Arabidopsis thaliana: one gene and its partners. The protein of the gene in region 1 interacts with the protein of each later gene in a pairwise test. Each region holds a gene or a part of one and is shown on either strand. Other genes may lie near its edges.

Region 1 (2,990 bases):
AAAGAACCAGCGTTTAGATTTGGCTCGTTTACCCGACCCGGAATGCTTTTTAGGTTTGGGCCTAAAAACTAATCAATTTCGCGTATATCATAAAGAAGCTCTACCCATAAACATTTACATCTGTAATCAACAACAACAAAAAAGAGAGAGAACTCAAGTAAAATAAATAAAACAATTTATAATTTTGAATGATTTTTTTCTTAAATCTGGTACTAATTAAATTAATATTTAAAGTTAGTATATTTTGTATATGTATTGTAATATTTGTATATTTTCTAAAGCAAGATTTTTTGTCAAGTTTATTCATTATTTCTGACAAATATGTGATGCTGACAAGCAATTGAAAAAAAAAAATCTTGCTTCAGAAAATTTTGAATGCTTTTAGATTCACTATATTTCTGCTGGTGAAAAATTCCATTAAAGTTTCACTCATTTTTTGTTATAAAGGTAATGTTTTTCTTTTTTTAGTATATAGATTGATTATTTCAAATACAAACTAAGTGATGTTGATATATGTTATATAGTATATCTATGTAATTATTTGTTAGTTATAATTGTGAATTTTAGATATAAGAAATAAGCTAAATGGTGTTTTTTAATTAACTTGAATAGTATGAACTCATATTTAGTGAAAATGGGAATAGCTCTCAAAATAAGCATAACATGCTGCTTTTTTAAATAGAACATATTTGCTAAAGAAAGATGCATGCAGGAACTACATAAAAACGAGATCATGTAAACAGAAATGCTTCATTAGTGGAAAGACAGAAAATTAACTACAGCATAAGAATATTACATTATAAGTTAAAAAGTTGTAATATCATATTAAAACTCTCCCAAAAATGTTACATTACACATTTTTTTTTGCATTCTTCTATGGTCAGTGTCAGTGATGCCTCGGGTCAGGACCACCGGGACTAAGCCGCTTTGAGTCAAGAGTATTTCCAAGGATCGTCTCTTCGCCTTCTGATCTCCCCTTCATCTCTTTTAACCTCTCAAAAAGTTCACGTCTTATCTTTTTCAAACGACTTGAACCAGAAAATCTCTCTTCGGCAACCAATGGTCGACATTCGTGCACCGATGTCAATTCGAGTACTAGAAGCAGGACCAAACAAACCCATAACTTGAGACTTGCCATATATATGTAACTTCCTCTTAGTTCTTAAAGGTGAGATATATAGTCTTTGAAGATTTTAAGGGGGTGATCTCCATATATAAGCTCAATAGCTACGGTATTTATAGAGAAGCTAAAGTCCTAATTAACGTCCATCTATGCAGAAATTAAATACGTTAATTAAGTTGGAATCTAGTCATATCTACCTAGCTAGTCCCTTCTTATATATCTCTTAATATTTATTTTTGAAAGGTCGTCATCACTTGATTGCATTTGCCTCTATTTTTAGTGGGAACGTAGTAAGTGACGTAATGTATAATTTCTGTTAGTTAAAAATTGTAAAACGAATGGAAGAAAACAAAATTATGTCTATATTGAATGACATGCATAGCTAACTGATTTCACTTGAAATAGAAACTTAAAAGCTAATAATATTTAATTGGGAGATTATTTTTTAAAAAACTCACAATTCATATTCCATAAACTAAAACATAAATTAAAAGCAATTTGAGTATTGTAGTAATTCTACCGAACCCAAATGTATATAGGATATGTGGAAAATCATTATCGTCGTTTGGTTGATGGAGCCAAATGGATATAACCAATGAAGATAAGGCATGACGTTTTCAGAGTTGGCAATGCACATAAAATAAGGTGGAGGAGACCAATCTAAAACCTTAAACGATGTATATATTAATCCACCAGGGCCTTAACTATATATTTTGTAGCTTTATTCTATGTATAATAAGTATAAGTGGTTGCCGCCACGTCCACTTCGATTTGTAAAGAGCACGTCAACGTAAAAAGCTGATTATGGAAGCATGAAATAGACGAAAATAGTAAAGCACAACAAATCTTTGAGACAAGTAGTGACGTTTGACGAATTAACCGATTTTCATTGGAGTAAAATAAGTCGTCTGTGTGCACTAAATTAAATTATGAAGAAAAACTTACTTATATCTAGATAGGTTTGTGCCATTGACCTGGTTTATCTTTAAATTTAGCATTTTTGAAGAATCAAATCTTAGTTATGCAGAAAACTCTTTGCGGAAATAGGATCTGGATCGTACGTTCTCTGTATCATATGTATAATTACTAATCATATAGACAACAAACTATGAGATCATCTTATAAATGATAGTGTCATAACCTAGTTCAGTTTCCCATAATCCAATAGTAGTTTACAATTTTACAAAAATTTGTGAACATTTCCTGTCAACTATTTGCGAGTCATGTGTGAGTGTGACCATGTGGACTGTTGAGTTCATTAAAATCTCTCAACTTACAACGTAAATTTGACACATCAATTACAAAACTGATCCACATTTTCTTGTTCTCCTTTCACATATATAGAGAAGAGAAGATACTACTACTAGTCCTGAATCACGATTTATATGAAAAAAGTGCAGAGATCATCAAATCATCTGCAGATGGAGATCGCCTGTTTGCTGGGCAAGCTCTACCATCATCGCTTCATCAAAGAATTTATTTCCGCTGACGTCTTCGCTCATTCCCTGCATAACCAACAAATTATACATATCGTGAGAGTCTGAAACTGATGATCCAAACACCCAACGAGTCATACAATATAACTAGCCTAGGATGTATCCAGCAAATTATAGCTGGTGTTACTTGGTTAAAGAGTAATTAGCAAGGGCCGGGTTTGTAAACAGTAGTTTCGGGGATCCTTTGGTTTGTGAGGGTTTACTGGGGTCATTTAACCAAACACTAGAGTAACAAATCAGTTTATGGTTTCATTCGTATCTTTAACCGCATGAAACCCACTAAGTTTTGGGATGTGCATTGAAACAAAGGAAATCATAATACCTTTCTACGGCGGGTCTTGACCATGAATTCCCGAGCTAGATGCTGAATA
Region 2 (3,867 bases), on another chromosome or scaffold:
TGTGAGTTGATGTTCTGCTTCGTCCGTTTGTTCTTCAGTTTAAAACACACTTTCTTACCATTTCAGAATGTGTGGGGAGAAGTTTTCACCGAGATGGAACCCAATCGCGCGTTGCATTAGTCGTTCACATTCTGAAATCACAGGTAATAACCAGCTAATTGTTTGGAATTGTGGAAATTTGACATAACGTTTAATATAATACTTATGGTTTAATCTTTTCTAGGGGTTGCCCATGACGATGCTCCATTTGTTTCTCTGATGGACATCCTGACCTATCACAATGTAATGTATCCAAAAACCTTGGATTTATCATAAGTTGTAGGAAAAGAGTATAGTGAAAACTTTCTTGAATTGATGTTTTACTGATGCTTATTATGCAGGTGACTGCTAAATTCAGGTGTGTTGTTCGGTTCATACAAGTGTATCCCCGAGACGTCAGAAAACTCCGTGATATCAACGGAAATATCAAATTGGTAGCTATACTAGAAGATGCAACCGCCAGAATCCATGCTTCTCTATATGCTGATGAAGGGGTAAGTAAAACACGATTAATTATTAGTGTTCATTGAAGGATTGTCTAATACTTATATCTGTATATCTTTTTACAGGAAAAGTTTTTCGGGTGTGACGAATCTGATGAAGAGGCTCTAGTCAAGAAGCTGAATAGATTGTTGGGAGGTGAAGAGATGGAGAAAGTGCCAAGAAATCCTCCATGGGTACAATGTTGCTTGTTCTCATTCTACAAACACAAAATGGATCAGTGGGAAAGCAGAAGATTCCGCATTTTTGATACTTGGATCAATGCTTCATGAGACAATCATAATGCTAATTGTATAGTTATTAGCATTAAACAAAATGTGATTATTTATTTACATGGAACCATACAATAAAACATTACATAAGAAAAATATCTCTCTCCAACGATATGTATGGAAGATAATAAAGCAAAACAATCTAAAATAAGAATCAATAAACAAGTGTAATATGATGAACTCGAAGAAGACTATAATAGCATTGACTCTTGACTAGCAATCAAAAGTCAACGTCACACTTGGTCGGCTGAAAAACAAACCCGCTGGTTGAATTAGAGGTAAGAGGAACCTTGAGATCGCACTTGATCTTGGGCTTGAACCTCCACGACTTGATCAACCCAAACTTAAACCTAATCTTAAGTCTCAGCTTGGCATCGATCCTATAGATCTGAGAATTCACATCCTCGTTCAAATCCTTCCTCTCTCCGCCGTCAAGCAGCACCAATTGCTGTCCCACGAGTTTAGTTCCAACCACCGTCGTGTTCTTATGTCCCTGGTAAAACTTCGAGATGTTGTTACTCATACCGAATCGCTGATCACCGTAGTATCCTCTGACTTCGATTTCATCATAGTAAACACCGATCCGGCGGTTAGGGTTACGGATTGTGAAATTGAGATCGAGATTGTATCGGAGGTTGTTGGTTGGGTCGAGTGTGAATTCGGTGAGTTTAGCGTCGGTGACGTGGAATTTGATAGCGTTGGGTCTGAAAATGAGCCAGATGATTAGAGCAGCTATGCCTAATAAGACGGCTATGGTTATGAGGATGTTGAAGATGACGCTTAAGATACAGCAGCCGCAGCAGCCAAGACAGTCACCTAAACAACCGCATCCACCGCCGCGTCTGCCGTGGCTGTGAGAGACTTTCTTCGGCGGTGGAATCGATGGTCCGTAATACGCACCGTTTAAGTCCGCCATCTGTTCGTTAAAATGCCTCAGAGAACGATTTTGAAAGAAAGTTTTTTTTGGTTTGTGATAAGATTTTGAAAAAGTAAATATGATTTGAAGTGAAGAAGAAGAGGCCGTAATATATATACACTGTAGAGATAACGTGTATTAGATAAAACGATTTAATTTGACGCGGTTTTGTTTTTTCAAAGTCAAAGGTGACGCGTCGGTTTAATATTGTTCGATGAAAATTTGATTTAAGTAGAGGTTACTTGCGAGATTGTTATTAGATATTTAGGATTAACAGTTTGATATACATTAAAGATTGTTTCTTAAATTTTACTATATGGTTTCTTCTTCAATTTGACTATGTATACTTTGGTTAAGCTTAATGAGATTATTTCTTGAATCCATATATACATGATTTGGTGATTAATGAGGTTAGTGCCGATCGCATACAAGAATATCCATATGTAGATATTTATTTATATATTCTTTTATTATATAAGACATGTGAGAATGTGATGATACTTAGTGCGGTAGTTAGTTTGTGAATTGTGAATAGTCATTTTTACAATGTAACTAAGCTTCCGAGAAACTTCCCCAAAAGCGACTGCTCTAATATAGCCATTGTTTCTTAAACTTGACGAAAGACTTTTGAGAACAAAAATAGAAAATGTGGCCAAAATATCAATAAGCCTATACAAAGTTAGAAAAAGACAAACCAGTCCCGGTCAAGAATTTCGACATTATATATATAACATGATGAAATGAAATAACTTTGATCTATAGGTTGCAAGTTGAAACTGAGGTGGGGTTTTCCAAATGTTTATTTTATAACTATGAGAACAGTTCTACTGATAAAGGTTATTTAATTAATTATCAATTAATGAAAATGTTTAATGTGAAAGATTTCTCAAATTCAAAGAAAATTAAACATTGCAAAGACTTGTTAATGTTATAATGCTAAAAGCAAGGAAAACTAAGGGAGGTTGGTGTTTAGAGTTGGATGATGTGACCTGTAATTGAAAGGAAGATTAGGTGAAGCCATGCTTTCAAATGTTTACATCTTTCTTCAATGAGAAAGGTCAAGCATATTTAATAAAGAATAATAATACTAGATCGCAACTCAATCATATTAAACTTTAAAACAACTATGGAGGATTTATAAAAACAAATGTAACAACTAAAAAAAGTATTCTTATAATATGAGATGTAATGTGTTTTATTTATTTATTAAAGTAGTCAATGTAGTTTAAGAAATTTTTATGTGTTATACGGTATAACAATAATTTTCATTGTATATGATAAGTAATACACAATAATTTTAAAGAAAAACCTGGTGATGAACAAACGTGTTTGAAAAACTTGTTAGAGTTTAATGCGGTGTCAATGTGTGTGGTGATAAAACATTAAACTAAATTAGACAACAAATATTTCACGAAGACTCCTTCAATCTTAGCCGTTTGGACGAAATAGATCATTGGAATTGGACAAATAAATGATGAAGACTTTGGTTGTTCTTAGGGTTTTGAAAATGGAGGAACCGACGACCGATCCCTATCTACTCAATTCCGATATTCATCCGAATAAATTATTGAGAAATTGCGTTGAATAGATGTCCACTAAAGTTTAAATGGACATATATCTAAGGAAGTAACATATAGGGTATACTTTTCATGTAATCTATTACTAATTCTAATTTGGTGGTTGTCACCATAATTTTGTGTTGTTAATCATTGTTAAAATCTGGAATACAATACGACTCGAAAGTCGAAACTGTATCGTGTTAACCAGTGGACCAATGATACAACTCCATGATTCATTTTACTTACGTTATCCTTTGGTTATGAATGTTTATTCTATGTTTTGGTTATGAATTTCTCTAGATGAACAAAATCGAATCTTTATGTATATATTCAAGTCTTGATCATTTACACGCTTAATAAAATGTATGACTTCAAAAAGGCAAAAAGGGAAGGTTATGTAGACAATTGTGTGTTTTTATCATCTGCTTTTTTACAGTATAACTTCGGTTCCAAACTAGGATTGTATATTCATGGATTGATGGGCGTAAAGTTTCTCATCATGCTGATCAATTACCTAGATTACGTATGGCAAATTTTCAGTACAATGTTTCGAAGATTTTCAATTAAAATTATGTTTATA
Region 3 (5,476 bases), 5.5 Mb from region 1:
ATATTCTGGTTATGTTTATAAAGACAAAAGGAGATAAACAATAAAGAATTAAACAATATACTTTTTAACAAACAAAATTTATCAGCGGCCAGCTTCAATGTCAAGCAATGCTACATTCTTGACGCTGTCATAACCACGGCTATTGGTATCGCCTTGGGAAGACACGATGTTGCTACCAAGCAAGTGTAAATTCTCCTCTCGATACTGATCCGACCAATTATGTTTGGTTGTTTTGACGCTCAAAGTTTCTAGCTCTACAGCTACTTCTTTCATCCTTGGCCTTTCTTTTCCCATTAGCCTTGTACACTCTGCAGCAATTCTTGCAGCTTCCTGGATCTCCTTCAGATTATCCTCGTTCAACACTTGGTCGTCAATAATCTCATGCAACCTATTCTCTTCCGTGGCAGAAACAAAGTAACTCACCAAATGTTTTGAAGCCTGTGGCCGTTCAAAGCACAATGCCTTTTGACCTGAGAGCAGTTCCATGAGGACTACCCCAAAGCTATACACATCGCTCTTCTCGTTCAGAAGCCCTGTGGTATAGTATTCTGGGTCTAAATAGCCTAGAGTGCCTTGCACCATAGTATACCAAGTAAAGGAAAATATGAACATGATTATTGATGATGAACAAACAAGCTCTCAAAGCATATTGATGAAGCAACAAATAAGTGGTTTTCTTTTTTTACAAACAAAAGAGATACATGTGATTTTGTGAGCAATATCAGCGGCCAGTTTCAATGTCCAATATTGCTACATTTTTGATGCTATCATAGCCAATGCTGCTACTGGTTTCGCCTTGTGCAGACAAGATGTGACCACCAATCAAGTGTTCATTCTCCTCAGGATACTGATCCGACCACTTATGTTTGGTTTTCTCGACCCTCAAGGCTTCTAGCTTTGCAGCTACTTCTTTCATCCTTGGCCTTTCCTCTCCCATTAGCCTTGTACACTCTGCAGCAATTCTTGCAGCTTCCTGGATCTCCTTCAGATTATCCTCGTTCAACACTTGGTCGTCAATAATCTCATGCAACCTATTCTCTTCCGTGGCAGAAACAAAGTAACTCACCAAATGTTTTGAAGCCTGTGGCCGTTCAAAGCACAATGCCTTTTGACCTGAGAGCAGTTCCATGAGGACTACCCCAAAGCTATACACATCGCTCTTCTCGTTCAGAAGCCCTGTGGTATAGTATTCTGGGTCTAAATAGCCTAGAGTGCCTTGCACCATAGTTGTGAGCTGCTCTTTATCCATTGGTATAAGCTTAGAAGCGCCAAAGTCGGCTACTTTTGCAGTTAAGTTTTCATCCAAGAGAATATTTGCAGTTTTGATATCGCGATGGATGATTGGAATAGAAGCAGAGGAGTGAAGATAAGCAAGAGTTCCAGCGACTTCTATCGCTATTCTGAGGCGGTGTTCCCATGTAAGAGAAGAATCAAAAATGGAACCGTGCAAGTGATCGAAAAGGGTGCCATTGGTAATGAATTCATAGACCAACAAGGGGACTTCAGTCTCTAGACAGCAACCCAAGATCTTGACCACGTTCCTGTGGTTAATTTGTGAAAGCACGAGCACTTCGTGGATGAACTGATCTACTTGTCTACTGTCTGCAAGCCGAGCTTTCTTTATAGCAACGATAGTGTTGTCCGGCAATATCCCTTTGTAGACTGTTCCTTGACCTCCCTGGCCCAAGATTCTGCTCTCATCATAGCCATTAGTTGCCTCTTTCATGCCTTCCTCAGTAAAGATTTTGAAATCAATGTTTGACAACCCTGCTCCTGAAAGTCGCTGTATCAACATGCCACCACCATTTTGCTCAAAGAATTGTCGTCGGAGCTTGGTATACTTCCTTTGCTTCGTTGCATGTTGTATACAGATCGCAGCAAGCAGGAGGACCAAGACGCCGATTATGATTACTGATAACATCATGCATAGATGATTAGAGCGAGTTGATTTAAAGAGAATCTAGAACCAGTGAAGAGTGTTTACCAAGAAAAATTCGAGTCCGTTTGTATTCGGGCCTCGTGCAGCTCATACTGGAGTTTAAGTCGTAACCAGATGGACACTTACAATCGAAGCCTCCATCCCTGTTTCTACAGGTTTTTGGATCCGAACAGTTATGTGTATCACTAATACACTCATCGATGTCTGACCAAAGGAATAAGTGCACAAGATGCAACCAAAAACGTATGAGGAAGATTATAAACACTCAAAAGAAGAAAGAAAGCAAAGAAATTAATATGAAGTACCTTTGCAACCCTCTGAACGGTATGGATTCCCATCATAACCTTCATTACATTTGCAGATATACCCGTTTCTAGTAGTAGAATTGTAACATGAGCTGTTCTTACCGCATATTCTTGTGCTTCCAGCTTGCTCACATGTCTGGTTTCCAATAGACCAATCTAGTGCCACAGGGAACCTCGTGACATTCCTCAGATTCTTAAGATCTTTTGAAGAATCGAAGTTAAACTTACCATCTTCAACGAGAAAAGCGTAGGTGCAAGGATTAAACTGATATACCGAAGTATTAAATAGATCTAAGGAATTATTAACTTGGTTTCTCAAGCGAACTGAGCCAAATTGGAATGTATCGCTATCGAACGGGACAGAGAAGTCCTCTGTTGTGCAGCAACCTACACCATTACATCTTCCATTTGCCTCTGGTTGAGAATTGCATAATGACAAGCATCCAGTTGAGTAGTTTTGCTTTCCAAAAGTGCTCAAAAGTGATAAAGCGTTACATCCTACTAAAGTAAACTTGTTGTTGGAGGAGAGAGAGAAACTACTACCCAGCTGATACCCGAGGGCAGTTCCATTAGTCTCATTTTTCTGCTCGTAGCATTCAGAGAATCGTTCAAACAGTACACTTACATGGCCACTGTGAGAAATATTGGTCACTTGAATGATGCCAAAGAGTAGTAGCTTCTCTTCCACGACACAGGTGAGATTGAAATTATCATCTCCGGGATAGTAACAACCTGTAGAAATACCAAAAGGGTACTCTATTGTGACGTTTCCACATTTAAGTTTACAATCTTCGCGAGGTTGATGTTGCCCCTTCACAAGCTGAGTATATGCAAGGAAGAAAATAACCACCAAGAACACACCCTCCTGGAACTTCATCTTCTACCTTTCTCTTTCTTTCTCTCTAAACTTGTTTCTCTTTGAGTTTTCTCTCATCGCTTATTCGCTTCTTATAGCTTGAAAAGTAACCCCTGATTTGACATTGTTGAATAATCAAATGTGAAGAAAAGTAAAGATTCAGACTACTAGACGTTAGAAAAATATAAATGCGTCAACTTCTTTATCTGTCCTTTCTTTCTTGTCTTGATTTTTCCAGGAAACTCCAATTTATTGTTCATATATGAAAGTCTCGTTATAGTGACAATGTAGGAATAAGACTCATCATGATCACAACATGCTCTGTTTTCTTCTGCTGTCGTAATAGTAGAAATATGTAGTTTTTTTGTGTGTGTGTGTGTGTTGAGTTTATAAATGTCAACAAGTTTTCGAAGAATTTGAATAGTTCTTGCCTCATGTGTCATGTCGCTGCTTACTCTTCAAGAGGTTATCTATGAGAAATTTCCATGCAAATCCACCACTTTGTTAGAAACTGAATCTCCTTCTAGAAACAGAACAGAGTTAAGAACAGAGAAAGAGAATCAGACTTTGTATCACAATTGGTTTGATCGTCAACATAACAATAAAGAGAAGAACTTGTCTTTCTATTATAGAGAAAGTGAAATACAACAACTGTTTTACAAGGTTTACAACAATTAACTTAAATACAAACCAACAGACATGAAAAGTCAAGAGTTATGACTCTTCTTTCTTGTGACACAACAAACATAACTACTTTAACTTAACAGACACGACACTTAAGTAATATATTACAAACCAAACTCAATTACGACCAGCACTCTTTCACCGAAAGAAACCAGATTCATTCAAAGAAACTGAGGGAAAATCTTGAGAAAAAACTGAAAATACACTGTTTGATGATTAAAATAATCTTTGACAGACCAGACTTAGAGATTTTAAGGGTATAGTAGAGGTAGCTTTCTCAATTTACTAAAGATCAGAGTTTTAACAAAAAAGGAAAATTTGATGGTTACAAAACCACAACAATCTTATGCAGCAAGAATGATAATTTAATTTAGAAAACGCAGTATTAAAATTTTAATAACAGAGCAATATATGAGTCAAGTTGTTTATCAAATAGTCAAGTTGTTCTTTCATACTTTCAAAGCCTTGTATCAAAAACGTTATTTTTCTTGAATATAATTTAACATTACATTCAAAAAAAAAAAAAAAAAAAAAATGTCAAGTTGTTCTTTTGGAGTTACGTACATACCACGCATCTTAAGTTAGAGATTTCTCGTTTACTAGTTTTTACTTCTCATGTAGTTGTGCATATGTTTGTTTATTACTGATCTAATTCCAAAATCATATGTTAACTTGTTTACATTTTTGTCTTCGTCTTGTTGCTCGTGGATATATATAATTGCATCTTTGTAATCATTTCATCATAATATCGATCACGTTGACGGAGAGTGCTTTTCTAGAATCCACCAAATTTTCTCATGTTTTCACTATATATATTACTTATGGTTAAAGATCATAAATTTTTAACAAAATAAGAAAACTTGATGGCTTCAAAACCAGAGCAATCTTATGCAGCAAGAATGATTTTGTTAATTTAGAAAACGCAGTATTAAATTATAGATGCCAGTACCAAAACAATATATGAGTCAAGCTGTGGATCAAATAGGATGTTTTAAGCAACTGAGCCCTTTAAATTCGAGTTATTGTTTTGCAACCACAACAGTATATCAATATCTCTGCTAGTAGATTCATGAATTCTTAATTTTTCTCATACCGAATCGTCTACTGGTTAGCTTACCAATCGAATGGAGTTATAAAATGAATAATTGATGATCTACAACGGATCTCTCGAGCATAAATGTTCTTGAATATCATGTTTTGATACTCTGTTTTTTTTGAAGTGTTAGGAAACATATAGGACATAAGCAATAAATAAGTGGCTTTACTTTTTCACAAACAAAAGATTGATAAATATCAGCGGCCAGTTTCAATGTCCAACCTTGTTACATTCTGGATGCTGTCATAGCCAATGCTACTGGTATCACCTTGCGTCGATAAGATTTGAACACCAAGCAAATGCTCAACCTCCTTGGGATATTGATCTGACCACTGATGTTTGGTTGTTTTGACTCTCAAGGCCTCTAACTCTGCAGCTACTTCTTTCATACTTGGCCTTTCCTCTCCCATAATTCTTGTACACTCAACAGCAATTCTTGCAGATTCCTGGATCTCCCTCTGATTATACTCGTTCATAACTTGACCGTCAATAATCTCATGCAACCTATTTTCTTTCATGGCAGAAACAAAGTAACTCACTAGATGTTTTGAGCTTTGTGGCCGTTCAAAGCATAATGCCTTTTCACCTGAGAGCAG
Region 4 (4,902 bases), on another chromosome or scaffold:
AGGGTTTAGCTTATTTTTTGGTTTGAATGACGAAAAATTCGACTTTGATTGGCGAAAGTGGTAAGGAACATAGTAGCTAGAAGTAGAAGAAGAACCCACTAAAGCTCCTCGCTCCATCTTCCTTAGACTTCGATGAGAGAAAGAATTCAAATAAATACTAAATTGTTATTGTAACTAAACCGGCAGGTGACGGCTGATTACGGTCGGAGAAGGCGGCAGTAGTACCGTAGTGGGACCCACGGTAAGTAGGTATTTTATTTATTGTTTATTTTTCCATATTTTCTTCAATAGTCTTTTTCTATTATTATTTATTGTTTATTTTTCCATATTTTCTTCAATAGTCTTTTTCTATTATTATTTATTGTTTATTTTTCCATATTTTCTTCTTTAGTCTTTCTCTATTACTATTTGACGGAACTCTTTGAATGTCTGGTCGTTACAAGCTTAAGTTGTGTCCCCACATGGAAGTTATTCGGTTGGGTCCATCGAAGGAAAATTGATTGAACCGGTCTGGTCATTCTCTCCCAAACTATAGAACCAATTTCGGTCTGCATCGGAGTTTCGAAGTCGCGGACTTATCAGAGTGGGCTTTTTAAGGAATGTTTTTAGAATATTTACCAGCCCAATCCCATTTTAAGTATGTCCAGATCTTAATTTGGCGAGCCTTTTTATATATGGTGAACAACTGATTCTAATGTGTATGTTTCACTTTTATTAGAGAAAAAATGTGAAAAGATTTAATGTGTATGTTTCACTTTTATTAGAGAAAAAATGTGAAAAGATTCTTAAAAGTATTTATTTATGCTAATTGGCAAAACTAAAACATCAATTTATGTACATCATTTTAGTTCTTCCTCTAAGATTTGATTGATTTGTATTAATGGCTCTGAATACTGATACTAGTTTCGTTGGCAAGTAAGATAAGTGATAACTTTGATAAAGAGTGTCAAATTACAAGTGCCACAATTTGGAGTACGTAACCAAATTGACATAAAACTTGAATAGGTGAAAAAACGAGCCAGAAAAAAAACGAATATCTTCTGCTTATCCGAATAAAACGAAAGTAATATTCTTACAAGATCCTTCCTTATGAAGTAGTGCCAGTAGATATTTTTATCATTGTGATTGCGACCTGTTTGTTGCGATTCATTTATGCCAATTCACGTTACTATTTATGTTGTGATAAAATCTTTTATTTTTCTTCTTCTTTCCAAATACTTAAGTATGCATGATTATTGATCCGTACAAGCATAAACGAAGAGCTATAAAGTCTCCAACGGTAAACGTACGTGAACCAAAATAACAATTCAATATTATGGTTCGAATTATTCTGTGTATTTTATGTAAGAAAATAACCAAAACCGACTCGAAACAAAACAAAAAAATCTTCTGAAATGTGAATCTTTATTTCGGAAAATTCTTAACGATAGATAGTTTTTGCTTTAAAATTAAATCCAAACATAAACTAGAACTGAAATTCAATTCGTTGTCAATATTTTCTATACAAAAAAAAAAAAGAAATCCGACCAAATAAACAAAACCATAAATAGACATCTCCATTTTTAGTTGAAAGATGATTAAATGCAATAAATGTGCCACAATCATAAATTTTTCCTTTTCACCTAATTGAAAATTTTAATCATTAATAAGAAGAATCCATGGAGCACAATTATTTTATTTTTTATTTTTTGCTCTCATATGGTATGTTAAATTAATTTTCCCTTAATTTAAATTCCCCATATCAAATAAGTTTTTTTTTTTTTGAGAAAGACTTGATTTCATAGGAGAAATATTTGTTAATATTTTCGACAAAACATTTTCTCTGTTTGATGTATTTCCATCCTCGTACAATAAATACTCTAGCTATTAAATTCTTAGCCCAAACGAAAATAAAGAAAAATAAAAGGGTCCTACTAATAAACAAAACAAAACTAGTGGTCCCAATTTGAAATATATAAAAATATATAAAATTCATAAAGCTTTGTGGCTTCAGAGCTTCCACTTCCATCGTCGTCTTCTATTTTTTCTTCTTTCTTCGATTTCATACCAAAACAAGAACTCTCTGTTTTCGACAAAAACGAAACCTTGAGATCTATTTTGATTGACTTTTAAGAAAGAGAGAGATCTTTCTTAGAAGATTTTGTCTCGTCGGCATTGAAGATCCAGGTAACAAAATCTCACCTTTTCTCTCCTAATTTCACGAAATCGAAGAAAAATTCTCATAATTCTCTTAATTACTTATCTCTCAATTTCTTAAATCTTACAGGGTTTGTCTTTCGAAATTCAGGTAATTTTCTCAAATCCATTTATGGATTGAAGCTTTAGGTAATGAATGAGCTGAATCTGCATATAAAAATCGATACTTTCATTATCCAGAACAAAACAAGATTTAGCATAAACGTTCAAAATTGAAACTTTGATTCCTAACTTCTTGGAATGATTCAGATTGAGCTAGATTTAGATCTGTATGATTGATATTATGGGTTTGGTTTGTTTATGAGTAGAGAGAAAATGGGTGATGAGGCAGAGATCAAGGAACATTTAAAGCCACAAGCTTCATCTGAAACAATGGACAAGAAACATAATGTGAAAGGGAAGAGGTTATGGCAGAAAGTCAAGTATCAATTGGTGGAGTTTCATTCATTGCCTGCTTATTTAAGAGACAATGAGTACATCATTGGTCATTACCGATCCGAATGGCCGATCAAACAGATTCTTCTCAGCATCTTTACCATTCATAATGAGACTTTGAATGTTTGGACGTAAGTGTTGAATCATGTTTCTTGATGTATCCTTGTTTAAAGTTCAAGAGCCTTGAGTGTGTTTGTGTGTGTGTGTTCTTTGGGATTTGCAGGCACTTGATTGGGTTTTTCCTGTTTTTGGCGCTCACTATATACACTGCAACGAAAGTACCGAGTGTCGTGGATCTTCATTCGCTTCAACACCGTTTACCCGATTTGTTGAGGAAAACAGATCTCCACAAACTTCATTCTGAGCTCATGGCTCGCCTTCCTTCTAGTCCATCTAGTTGGCATGTGATGGACCTTCTTTATAACTGTTTGCCTGAAAGATTTTCTCATGGCAACTACACTGACATGTGTGTTCTGGTAAGAAAAGACTCAATCTTTCTCTCTATTCCTGCAGATTACTGTTTCAAAATGTGGCCAAGTTCATATCTTTGTAATTGCATTGCAGCATTCTGTGAGGGAAGATCTTGCAAACTTGATAGCTCCTTTGATCTTCAGGCCAATTACTCGATGGCCGTTTTATGCATTTCTAGGTGGTGCTATGTTCTGTCTATTAGCAAGCAGCACGTGCCACCTCCTCTCATGTCACTCCGAGCGAGTCTCCTACATAATGCTTAGGCTTGATTACGCCGGCATCGCAGCTCTAATAGCGACTTCCTTCTACCCTCCGGTTTATTACTCCTTCATGTGTGATCCTTTCTTCTGCAACCTCTACTTAGGATTCATAACCATCTTAGGAATCGCCACTGTGCTTGTTTCTCTCCTCCCGGTTTTCCAAAGCCCGGAGTTTCGGGTGGTGAGGGCGTCTCTGTTCTTTGGAATGGGATTCTCTGGCTTAGCTCCGATTCTTCACAAGCTGATAATCTTTTGGGACCAACCTGAAGCCCTTCACACGACAGGTTATGAGATTTTGATGGGTTTGCTTTATGGGTTAGGAGCTCTGGTTTATGCAACTAGGATCCCAGAGAGATGGATGCCGGGTAAATTCGATATAGCAGGACATAGCCATCAGTTGTTTCATGTTCTGGTTGTTGCTGGTGCGTTCACGCACTATAGAGCTGGGCTAGTGTATCTTAAGTGGAGAGATATTGAAGGATGTTGAAGATGAAGATTGAAGATTAGATGGAATCTTTGAATCTTGTTTGTAGTAGCTTCATATAAAAGTTGGATTATGTAAAGTCTTATATGTAATCAAACGTTTAATTGTTTCCTTTATTCAACAAAGGATTTATATTGTTAATCCACATATGTATTACTGGTTAAAGAAGCTGAAGGATTCATATTTTTAGATGATTCCAGTCTTGATTGCAGCATTCAAAGTATCATAATCCAGTGTCAACCTCATATAGCCTCCTTGTGAACCTGACACAAGCCTAATTGTTCCATGGCAGAGGATACTTTGATTCTGATCTTCTTCTTGAAGGTTTCCCCTGATTGGTATACATTTCGAATGATCCATAAGTGTTGATAAACTACAAGTACACAAAATATGAAACAAAATCTATGCACATCAATAAAAATTCAGAAATCAATAAAATTTACTCTGAAAATGCAGAACATTTATAAGTGTTTGTTATTGTTTTCAATATATGAGAGGAGGAGCTCCCCTACTATTTTTATATTTTTAGCCAATGAGAGAGCTCCACTTCATACCCCACTTTTACCAATCGTGCTATTTCACAGCCACTCTCACTCATGTCGCGTTGAGCGCGTGTCTACGATTTCTAAAGGGGTTAATCCACAAAAATCATGCATTTTTGGATCCACGCACCTCATTCTCAAAAACCCATCGCGTGTCGTATTTTTTTTGGTTTTCTTCTCTAAACCAAATTAAACCGAACCGAGATCAATTTGAATTTCAAAACCAATGTAAACCCATCGCTGTGAAAACAAAAAGCTCGGCCACTGTAACAACAAAAATGGAGACGACACAACTTGGAAGAGAAATCAACTCGAAATAGCCAAGAGAATGTTCGTAAACCCCCTCAAATCCGATGCTTCCTTTGATTCCAACCTCCAAAAGCCCATCTGCTCAAACGAGGAGTATTACAAGGTACCTCTATAGAACAAGTATTCACTTCCATTCCCTTACTTGTGTTAGTTCAGCGCTTGAGAAATATTATGATCTTGTTTCAGACTTTCAGCTGTCAAGAGA

Evidence for each region.
Region 2: the proteins of CLE3 (region 1) and NHL3 interact in a protein complementation assay, tested with the Arabidopsis thaliana proteins (one large-scale study listed by BioGRID).
Region 3: the proteins of CLE3 (region 1) and WAK3 interact in a protein complementation assay, tested with the Arabidopsis thaliana proteins (one large-scale study listed by BioGRID).
Region 4: the proteins of CLE3 (region 1) and HHP4 interact in a protein complementation assay, tested with the Arabidopsis thaliana proteins (one large-scale study listed by BioGRID).

Annotation. Positions count from the first base shown.
Region 1 is NC_003070.9:1,904,123-1,907,112, reverse strand, and holds CLE3 (CLAVATA3/ESR-RELATED 3), read right to left. Parts: upstream 1,196-2,990; 5' UTR 1,139-1,195; coding exon 887-1,138; 3' UTR 815-886; downstream 1-814. Other genes in the region: MEE5 (Ribosomal protein S5/Elongation factor G/III/V family protein), read right to left, coding at 2,530-2,628, 2,942-2,990.
Region 2 is NC_003076.8:1,929,984-1,933,850, forward strand, and holds NHL3 (NDR1/HIN1-like 3), read right to left. Parts: upstream 1,786-3,867; 5' UTR 1,729-1,785; coding exon 1,033-1,728; 3' UTR 813-1,032; downstream 1-812. Other genes in the region: AtPOT1b (Nucleic acid-binding, OB-fold-like protein), read left to right, coding at 67-143, 224-282, 381-533, 609-812. UniProt on the Arabidopsis thaliana protein: Confers resistance to Pseudomonas syringae pv. tomato DC3000 (Pst DC3000).
Region 3 is NC_003070.9:7,431,948-7,437,423, reverse strand, and holds WAK3 (wall associated kinase 3), read right to left. Parts: upstream 3,190-5,476; 5' UTR 3,122-3,189; coding exon 2,245-3,121; intron 2,144-2,244; coding exon 1,985-2,143; intron 1,912-1,984; coding exon 722-1,911; 3' UTR 594-721; downstream 1-593. Other genes in the region: AT1G21245 (Protein kinase superfamily protein), read right to left, coding at 82-582; WAK5 (wall associated kinase 5), read right to left, coding at 5,078-5,476. UniProt on the Arabidopsis thaliana protein: Serine/threonine-protein kinase that may function as a signaling receptor of extracellular matrix component. Binding to pectin may have significance in the control of cell expansion, morphogenesis and development.
Region 4 is NC_003075.7:17,698,720-17,703,621, forward strand, and holds HHP4 (heptahelical protein 4), read left to right. Parts: upstream 1-1,914; 5' UTR 1,915-2,166; intron 2,167-2,266; exon of another isoform or gene 2,267-2,287; 5' UTR 2,288-2,496; coding exon 2,497-2,762; intron 2,763-2,854; coding exon 2,855-3,107; intron 3,108-3,195; coding exon 3,196-3,849; 3' UTR 3,850-4,233; downstream 4,234-4,902. Other genes in the region: NAGS2 (N-acetyl-l-glutamate synthase 2), read right to left, coding at 1-117; AT4G37682 (hypothetical protein (DUF1399)), read left to right, coding at 4,742-4,800, 4,884-4,902. UniProt on the Arabidopsis thaliana protein: May play a role in abiotic stress response.